Linked DNA regions of Xenopus tropicalis. The protein of the gene in region 2 interacts with the protein of the main gene of each other region in a pairwise test. Links are inferred from orthologs where the notes say so. Each region holds a gene or a part of one and is shown on either strand. Other genes may lie near its edges.

Region 1 (3,819 bases), on a different chromosome or scaffold from region 2:
ATCAGTCGAAGTTCCAAGCACCGGTTCAGTATCCCTTTCCTCTTGCCCTCTGTCTGTGCATTTATGTTTCTGTGCTTAACTCTTGCCGTGTACCTGTCTCTCCCTCCATGCTGCAGTGCACTCCGTTCTGCTTACAGGTAATGAAAGCTCCTTCCTGATTAGCTGCTTGACTTCCCACCACCTTTCTATCACTGGCTTACCAGAACACTGGCTTTTTATCTTGCACCCTGTATTGTAGGGGATTATGCTAGTTCTTTATTCAGGCAGATACACTTTAAATCATTACAACACTTAATTCAAGTGGCACACAGGTTGGATTTTGGTATTTTGCCTGCTGCATTTTTCAGTGGAAAATCATCACTGCTACTTCCCTTTGACTTAAATATGTGGCAGCTCTAATAACTGATGTTTTTCAACCCAAAAATGGTGTGTTTCAAGGCTGAAAAGCACCATTAACCTGTACTGTCATGTGTTTCCCATTCATGTGAACAAAAGGCAGCATTAGCAGTTGCTGGCACTTTTTTATCAGTTGACATATGCTAGCAGGGTATGACCCCTTGAGCCATAGGCATATTATCTGCTGCTCCCCTGTGGTGCAAATGAAGCGGCAGGCAAAGAGTCCATGTCCACCTGTTACATCTTCTTCTAAACAGGGCAAGCTTTATGCTATGCATACTGTCTTGTAAATTTAATGGACAGTCAATGGGGAAAAAAAAAAGGGTATAGTCTCCACTACAGAAGGCTTTCTGTTAATCAGGCTATTGTTGGGTTTCAGGTTTTAGCTTAGTTATACTTTTTGAGACTTGTGGTTGGCAAGTATATAATTCATTCATTGCATTGCTTGGGAGAGTGTTGGTCAGACAGTTGTACAGTAAGTTACAACTTTCACACATAAAACAACCTTATTCTGTTTTAACATTGTACCCTCTGCCCCCTCAGCTGAATGCAGAGCTCAAGCAGAGCCTCAAGCAAACTATGACCACAAAGTACAAACAGCCAGGAGAGGAGAAAGTGACCAATGCTGTGGACAAACTGCAACAGGAGGTGAGTGTGGGCTGCTCCCTTTCTTCTTGCATGTCCCCCTGGAACTGGACTTATATTTACACTTTTCTTTCTCTGCTCTGCTTAGTTTAAATGCTGCGGCAGTAATAATTCTGAGGACTGGAGGGACAGCATATGGATTAACTCTCCTGAGGCCGAAAAGCGGTTGGTTCCTGACAGCTGCTGCAAGACGGTTACTCAACGATGTGGCATTCGGGATCACCCATCCAACATCTACAAGACGGAGGTAGGAGATATATATATATTTATAATATATGCATGTCATTTTATCAGGATTAACCTTTCTTCAGTAAGGCTTATATTATTCTGAAATACATTAGGGCCTGTTATGCCTTTTCCCTGCTGCACTATGCCAGCCCTTTCCTTAGATTTACTAGTCCTCAGCCTTCCAAACATCAACATCAGCCAGGATATCCTTTCTCATTATCTGCCCCTGTTCTACATCCTTCCTTGCGTTCTGTAAGGTACTCGTAGCCTGAAGTGTTCGCCTTCAGGGATACATACAGGAAGATAATGTAACTGTGCCAAAATAAGCACCAGTTATGCCATTTTTGTACTGGGCATAAGCACATGTGTGCTAGGCTGCCCTGAGCTTACACCAATACCCCAAGCTTTTCTGACACCTGATGTTGGAGGGTCTGGTACCTAAGGCGAACAAGAGACTTTCCACAGCAGCTTTGTTCCTATAAGGAACTGATAACCCTCTGGTTAATAGGCACAGCCAGCTTGTTTGTTTCATATAACAATGACCTGTTACTTCGGGGTCTTTCTTCTCTTGCTTTGTTTTTGGGAATATTAGTTTAGTTTTCTAGAATCTGGTGGTGAAGAGCAAGGGGAACACTGTCTAAATAATGGCTAAGCTTAGGAAGTATGATCTGTGATCTGTGCCAATTTATGGAATAAGGGTGGGTTTATGGTGGGTATTAAGTGCTGCAATATTTTGCTTCTTGTATATTGTAGGAGGCATATTACAGTGTAAAATGTGATGCCAGGTTTGGGTAAGTGCTACATAATACTGTATTTACTTACTACCCTGTGAGACCTTAGAGATCTAAGCTGTGGGAAACAATACCTAAGAGCTATTAATCTGTACTGTATACTATATCTGGATTAGAGTTTACTTTATGTTCACAGATTCAGTGTTGCTAAGTGTAAGGGTATGCAAGTAAAAATATGCAAGCCACGAATACCTTAACGTATGACTATATTAGGCAAATCATTGTTGGAAAAGTACCATAGGGTATTTGTGGGTAATAAACTTGGCTGTAGCAAGCAATGCTGGAAAGGACAAACAACAAGGGGTCATAGATTTTTGGGAAGAGAAGGATTTATAACTGGTAAGGTCCCACCTGGAATATGCCTTTGCAGCATTGGTTTCCAGTTCTAAATGGGATATTACTTAATTAGAGAGAGTCCACCTAATTAGCCTTTTGGCCTTCATCACATAAAAAAAACCATTGATGCTAAACAGAAAGCTTCAACAGTGACACCCCGTGGATGTTTAGCAGTAGTTTTGTTGCACTAAAATGATGTTGTTATGAAAAACTTGTTTAAAATATCGCTAGCGCTGTATACACTCTGAGAAAGAGCCCTTTGTGGAGCAAGTCTTTGGAGATCTGAAATTCAGTTACAATTTTAAATTACAGGTTGGCGGATCCCAAGAAGTGGCCGAAGGGGCACAGAGCCTGTATGATTTAGGCAGACTGTTTATAGGTTACATAGTAGGCTAGCTTGAAAAAAAAACACAATCTGAAGCCTCTCCAATTTGCCTCAAGGAGGGACATATCACCGCCTCTACTTCTTTTGCACAAAAGTACCAAGTGAGGGCCTTTGTACTTTATGCAACTCCACCAGCGGCAAGCAGTACTGCATACAGTGTCGGGTGCAACGTTTTGTGCATCAAAATGCTGCATAACAGAACACGAAAACCAATCCGTATTATTTAAAAAACAAGTTAAACACTGGTAAAAGTCCAACCCTGGTACTGTCTGTGAAGAGCTGTATACCTCCTACGGTACAGCACCTCTGTCTGGCGTCAGTGCTACTTTTATTGTCTTCTGTTTGATAACCTTTCCTTCCTGTATCAATGCCATTTATGTGTCTCCCTTCTCTTCCCACAGGGTGGATGCATCACCAAGCTTGAAACCTTTATTCGGGCTCACCTGCTAATTATAGGTGCTGTGGGGATTGGCATTGCCTGTGTTCAGGTGAGCGACAATCTGGGTATCTTTAAAAACCTTCATGTTCTGCATTTCTTTCTATATTGTTCTACTGTCAACCTAACCCATTTGCTCCATCTTTGCCCCCTTTATCCAAGTATCCTACCTTACATTTTTTAAATTGTGTTTTTTTTCTTTCTTAGCTTTTTGGGATGATTTTCACCTGCTGCCTGTACAGGAGCCTAAAGTCAGAGCCATATTGAAAACATTTAAGACTTGTCTTGTTGCCTTGTTTTTCCCTGCTGACAACATATCCTGCTGCCTTAAACACCCCCCTGGCACTGAGGCCTGTTATGGTCCTATTGTAATGGCAGAATGTTATCTCATATCACTGTGTGGACCCTTTGGAACTCTGCGGTTTTTAACCCATGATATCATCAGCCTGCGACTGTATCCAGTGCCAAACATCAATGTAACCAAGTTCTCATGCTAGAGACTGCAAAAACAAAACAAATCCTTTCTTTTGCTTGATGACTTTTGCTAATGATGTTCGCAGCCACAGCTAGAGATCTGACCTCCGTTAAATGGGCAGAACAAG
Region 2 (4,426 bases):
GTTCCATTACCGATTCCTGCACTGTAAGTCAACAGAGCTCACAATCACCCCCCCCCGGCCATCACGGGGTGCCTGGGAGGGAAGGGAGCACCCAGTCATTACGAGGGAAGGTATCCGATATTGCTTTATATGTTACTCTGTATGTCCAGTGTATGAAACCCACTTATTGTACAGCGCTGCGGGATATGTTGGCGCTTTATAAATAAGTGTTAATAATAATAATACACAGCACAGGTGGCACACGTTGGACTCAATTTGGCCAAACTAAAATCTGGGCAGAAGTGGCCGCCAAAGGCTCAGACGCACAATGGAAGTGGCCCCCCACTTTCGGAGCCTCAGATTGTTTGGCATGGGGGGGGGGCATTTCCTCGCAAAGGAAACTTGGAGCCCTTTACTGACTGCCTAAAGGTCCCCATACACGGGCTGATTGTAGCTGCTGATATGGGTCCCTTGGACAGATTCGGCAGCTTATTGGCCCGTGTAGGGGCAGAAACGAGGGGCCTGGATGACCCTTATCTGGCCTGAAATTGGCCAGATATTGATCAGCCAGGTTAGAAAATTCAGTCGGATCGGGGACCGCATCGGCTCGTTGCGGTCCCTGAACCGACTGGCCCATTGCCGCCGTTAGAATTAGATTATTTGGCCCCAGGGCCTACATGTTACCCGATATCGCCCACCCGTAGGTTGGGATATCGGGTAAAGATCCGCTCGCTATCTGCCCGTGTATGGGCAGCTTTAGGCAGGGACTGAGTGCAGAGCGCAATGTAGGGGGCACAATTGCTCTGTAGATAAGCACTAAGGGCTGTGCTCTTGTACCCCCAAGTGCCCTTATGCCCCTGGGGTCATAAACAACCCCTCATATTCCGCTATGTCCCCAATACTGAATCAGTGCTGTAACTATTGGGGCACATTGGGTGCGGCTACACCTGGAACCACCGGGGGCATGGGAGTTTTAGGGCCGAGGCCCTTTATCCCTGAGTTATGGCACATAACATTTCTGACGATATTAATGTATTGGTTGTTGGGTTTAACCAGGAAATAACAGGGGAAAGCGAGGCAAGTCCCCCTACAGGAGAGGAGACTGCATAACCGGCAGGTTGGGGTGCACCATAGACATCATCTGGGGAATGGGGCTGCCTCCTCTTTCAGTTAAGACCAATCTACTTGACTTAGCAATTCCAAGACAGGGCCGTATAAACACCAGTGTAGTCTGCAGCAGGCTTATGGTTATAAAGCTTTGGGGCGATGAGAGAGTAACCGTCACAGCTGAAACTAATTTTATTTACAAGTCATATACCAGTCTGGGGGGAATGCTGGGATATGTAGTTTAAAGGCAATGTAAGGTTTAGTTTAGGTTTTCAAAACATATTTCCAATTACATCAATTTCAAAATGTTAACTGTAAGTGACCAATTACACTGCTTCTTCTATATCGGAGCTATTTAATTGGAGGCCCACGGGCCGGATGTGCCCCCCAAGACTGTCTGTGTATGGGCTCCATAGGCTGCTATGTATGGCATCTCTGGGATAGAACCTGGCACAAAAGCGCGGGCTCCATAGGCTGCTATGTATGGCATCGCTGGCATAGAACCTGGCACACAAGCGCGGGCTCCATAGGCTGCTATGTATGGCATCGCTGGCATAGAACCTGGCACACAAGCGCGGGCTCCATAGGCTGCTATGTATGGCATTGCTGGCATAGAACCTGGCACACAAGCGCGGGCTCCATAGGCTGCTATGTATGGCATCGCTGGCATAGAACCTGGCACACAAGCGCGGGCTCCATAGGCTGCTATGTATGGCATCGCTGGCATAGAACCTGGCACACAAGCGCGGGCTCCATAGGCTGCTATGTATGGCATCGCTGGAATAGAACCTGGCACACAAGAGCGGGCTCCATAGGCTGCTATGTATGGCATCGCTGGGATAGAACCTGGCACACAAGCGCGGGCTCCATAGGCTGCTATGTATGGCATCGCTGGCATAGAACCTGGCACACAAGCGCGGGCTCCATAGGCTGCTATGTATGGCATCGCTGGCATAGAACCTGGCACACAAGCGCGGGCTCCATAGGCTGCTATGTATGGCATCGCTGGGATAGAACCTGGCACACAAGCGCGGGCTCCATAGGCTGCTATGTATGGCATCGCTGGCATAGAACCTGGCACACAAGCGCGGGCTCCATAGGCTGCTATGTATGGCATCGCTGGCATAGAACCTGGCACACAAGCGCGGGCTCCATAGGCTGCTATGTATGGCATCGCTGGAATAGAACCTGGCACACAAGCGCGGGCTCCATAGGCTGCTATGTATGGCATCGCTGGCATAGAACCTGGCACACAAGCGCGGGCTCCATAGGCTGCTATGTATGGCATCGCTGGCATAGAACCTGGCACACAAGCGCGGGCTCCATAGGCTGCTATGTATGGCATCGCTGGGATAGAACCTGGCACAAAAATTGCAGGTAACTATAGAAACCAGCAAACCCAGGTATAGCTAACAACTATGCTTATACACTGCCGGTCTTGAGGGATATCACATTGGCATAAAGGGTTAAAGCTTTGTTTTTTAACCTTGGACCTTGAGATGTTGCTGAACTACAGCCCCCGGCACTGTCCAACATACACACGAGTGTCCAGGAATGTTGTTGTGATTGTTGCGGTTCTGCAAGTTGCAGAAATGGGCGGCGAAATTCTCTCAAACAGACTCAGAATAAGAATGAGAAACACAATTGGTGCAGCTGTAATGCCCCCCCATTGGTCAGCCTGGGCAATAAGGCTACCCCGGCCCCCAGCCACACTCACCCCCATAATACTCACATGGGGTACTTACTGACAGCAATGACAGGAGTCACATGGAGGAGATCCAGTAGCCAGCCCCGATGCCACTAGCCCGTTACCATTGCACCCAGCACTGTTGTGACTTCCTAGTTGGGCTACAAGACGGACAATTCAGTGCAGTTCTGTCTCACAGCCCCGCCCACAGGAAACCTGCACAGGTGAACCCTCTCTTAAAGTCACGGCACTCCTTTATACACAACTAAAGAGAGACGTGATCCCACGGGGCAAGGCAGCCCGGGCAGTTATGCAGGTGTAAGGGCAGGCATTATCTAGGACTATGCTGGCCAACTCCCTTTGGGGTGAAGTCACACTGAGCTACTTAGTAGCAGCTACTAAACACCAGAAAATCCCCTGCCATAGACAATAGTGAGAATTGCCTCTGCTAAAACACACAGTTATCAGTAAATGATCAGCATTATCTGTTTCAGTAGCTGCTACTAGTAGCTCCGTGTGTCTTCTCACATCAGTGGGTATATATCACATCCACATCTTGCAGGACTAATTAGCTCTTAATTAAAACTGCACTTAATTGGCCACATAATAGAATTAATCATTTTAAACCCTGATAAACAGGCCACTGGTCCCAGCTGTCAGTAGGTGCCGGGAGTTGCAGCAGGAGGGTTGCTGATATATACACTAACTTTTGTTATAAAATATGGGGAAAGTGGGTGTAAAGTTTGTTGGAAGTCTTGTATCCCATAGCAACCAATCAGCAGACAGCTATTATCGGTTACCTTTTTGGAAGCAAATCCCTGGTGGTTGTGGGGTTTTAATACCTTGGCCATTACATGTCTTTATTACTATAATTAGACCCCTCTGACGGCCCAGGGCCATTATGCAATTGAACACAAGCTGAATACATGGAAAGGGAGTGGGTCTCTTTGAGACGTGTTGTATAAACAACATTAGTGTTTGTATTGCATTATGGTTCCCACATAGGTGTGTGCAGAACTGCCGGGGGTTACGCTCATGTCTACAGTGCGATAGATGGAGCGGGGCATATCCATATTTATACACTGCGCTAAACCGACCGATTTGTTGCAGTAGTAGCAAGTCTGAAGCATGTAAAATCCTGAATAAATCAGACTACTGCTGGGCAGGGAGAGGCATACAGCAGCCCCAGGGCCCGGATAGGGGCATAATCTACATGCAATTCAATATATGTGAGCAAAACAGAACATTGGGTAACAGTCACCCAGGGCACAAATAAGCACTCACCCCAAATCCCCCCCCTAACTGGCCTTCAGGCTGGGCCCCCTTAGCCCATAACAAGGTTACAGATATATAGAAACATTGGGGTAACAGTCACCCCGCTATAGTTCCAGGGGTACCCAGGGCACAAATAAGCACTCACCCCAAATCCCCCCCTAACTGGCCTTCAGGCTGGGCCCCCTTAGCCCATAACAAGGTTACAGATATATAGAAACATTGGGGTAACAGTCACCCTGCTATAGTTCCAGGGGTACCCAGGGCACAAATAAGCACTCACCCCAAATCCCCCCCTAACTGGCCTTCAGGCTGGGCCCCCTTAGCCCATAACAAGGTTACAGATATATAGAAACATTGGGGTAACAGTCACCCTGCTAT

The links.
Region 1: the proteins of gramd1c (region 2) and cd151 interact in binary tests that used the Homo sapiens proteins (3 or more experiments, as listed by UniProt). The link is inferred for Xenopus tropicalis from reciprocal best matches to the Homo sapiens genes GRAMD1C and CD151.

What each region holds. Positions count from the first base shown.
Region 1 is NC_030680.2:31,254,191-31,258,009, reverse strand, and holds part of cd151 (CD151 antigen), read left to right. Parts: intron 1-116; coding exon of another isoform or gene 117-137; intron 138-939; coding exon 940-1,044; intron 1,045-1,129; coding exon 1,130-1,288; intron 1,289-3,182; coding exon 3,183-3,269; intron 3,270-3,424; coding exon 3,425-3,484; 3' UTR 3,485-3,819. UniProt on the Homo sapiens protein: Structural component of specialized membrane microdomains known as tetraspanin-enriched microdomains (TERMs), which act as platforms for receptor clustering and signaling.
Region 2 is NC_030678.2:3,306,171-3,310,596, reverse strand, and holds the start of gramd1c (GRAM domain-containing protein 1C), read right to left. Parts: upstream 2,898-4,426; 5' UTR 2,832-2,897; intron 1-2,831. UniProt on the Homo sapiens protein: Cholesterol transporter that mediates non-vesicular transport of cholesterol from the plasma membrane (PM) to the endoplasmic reticulum (ER).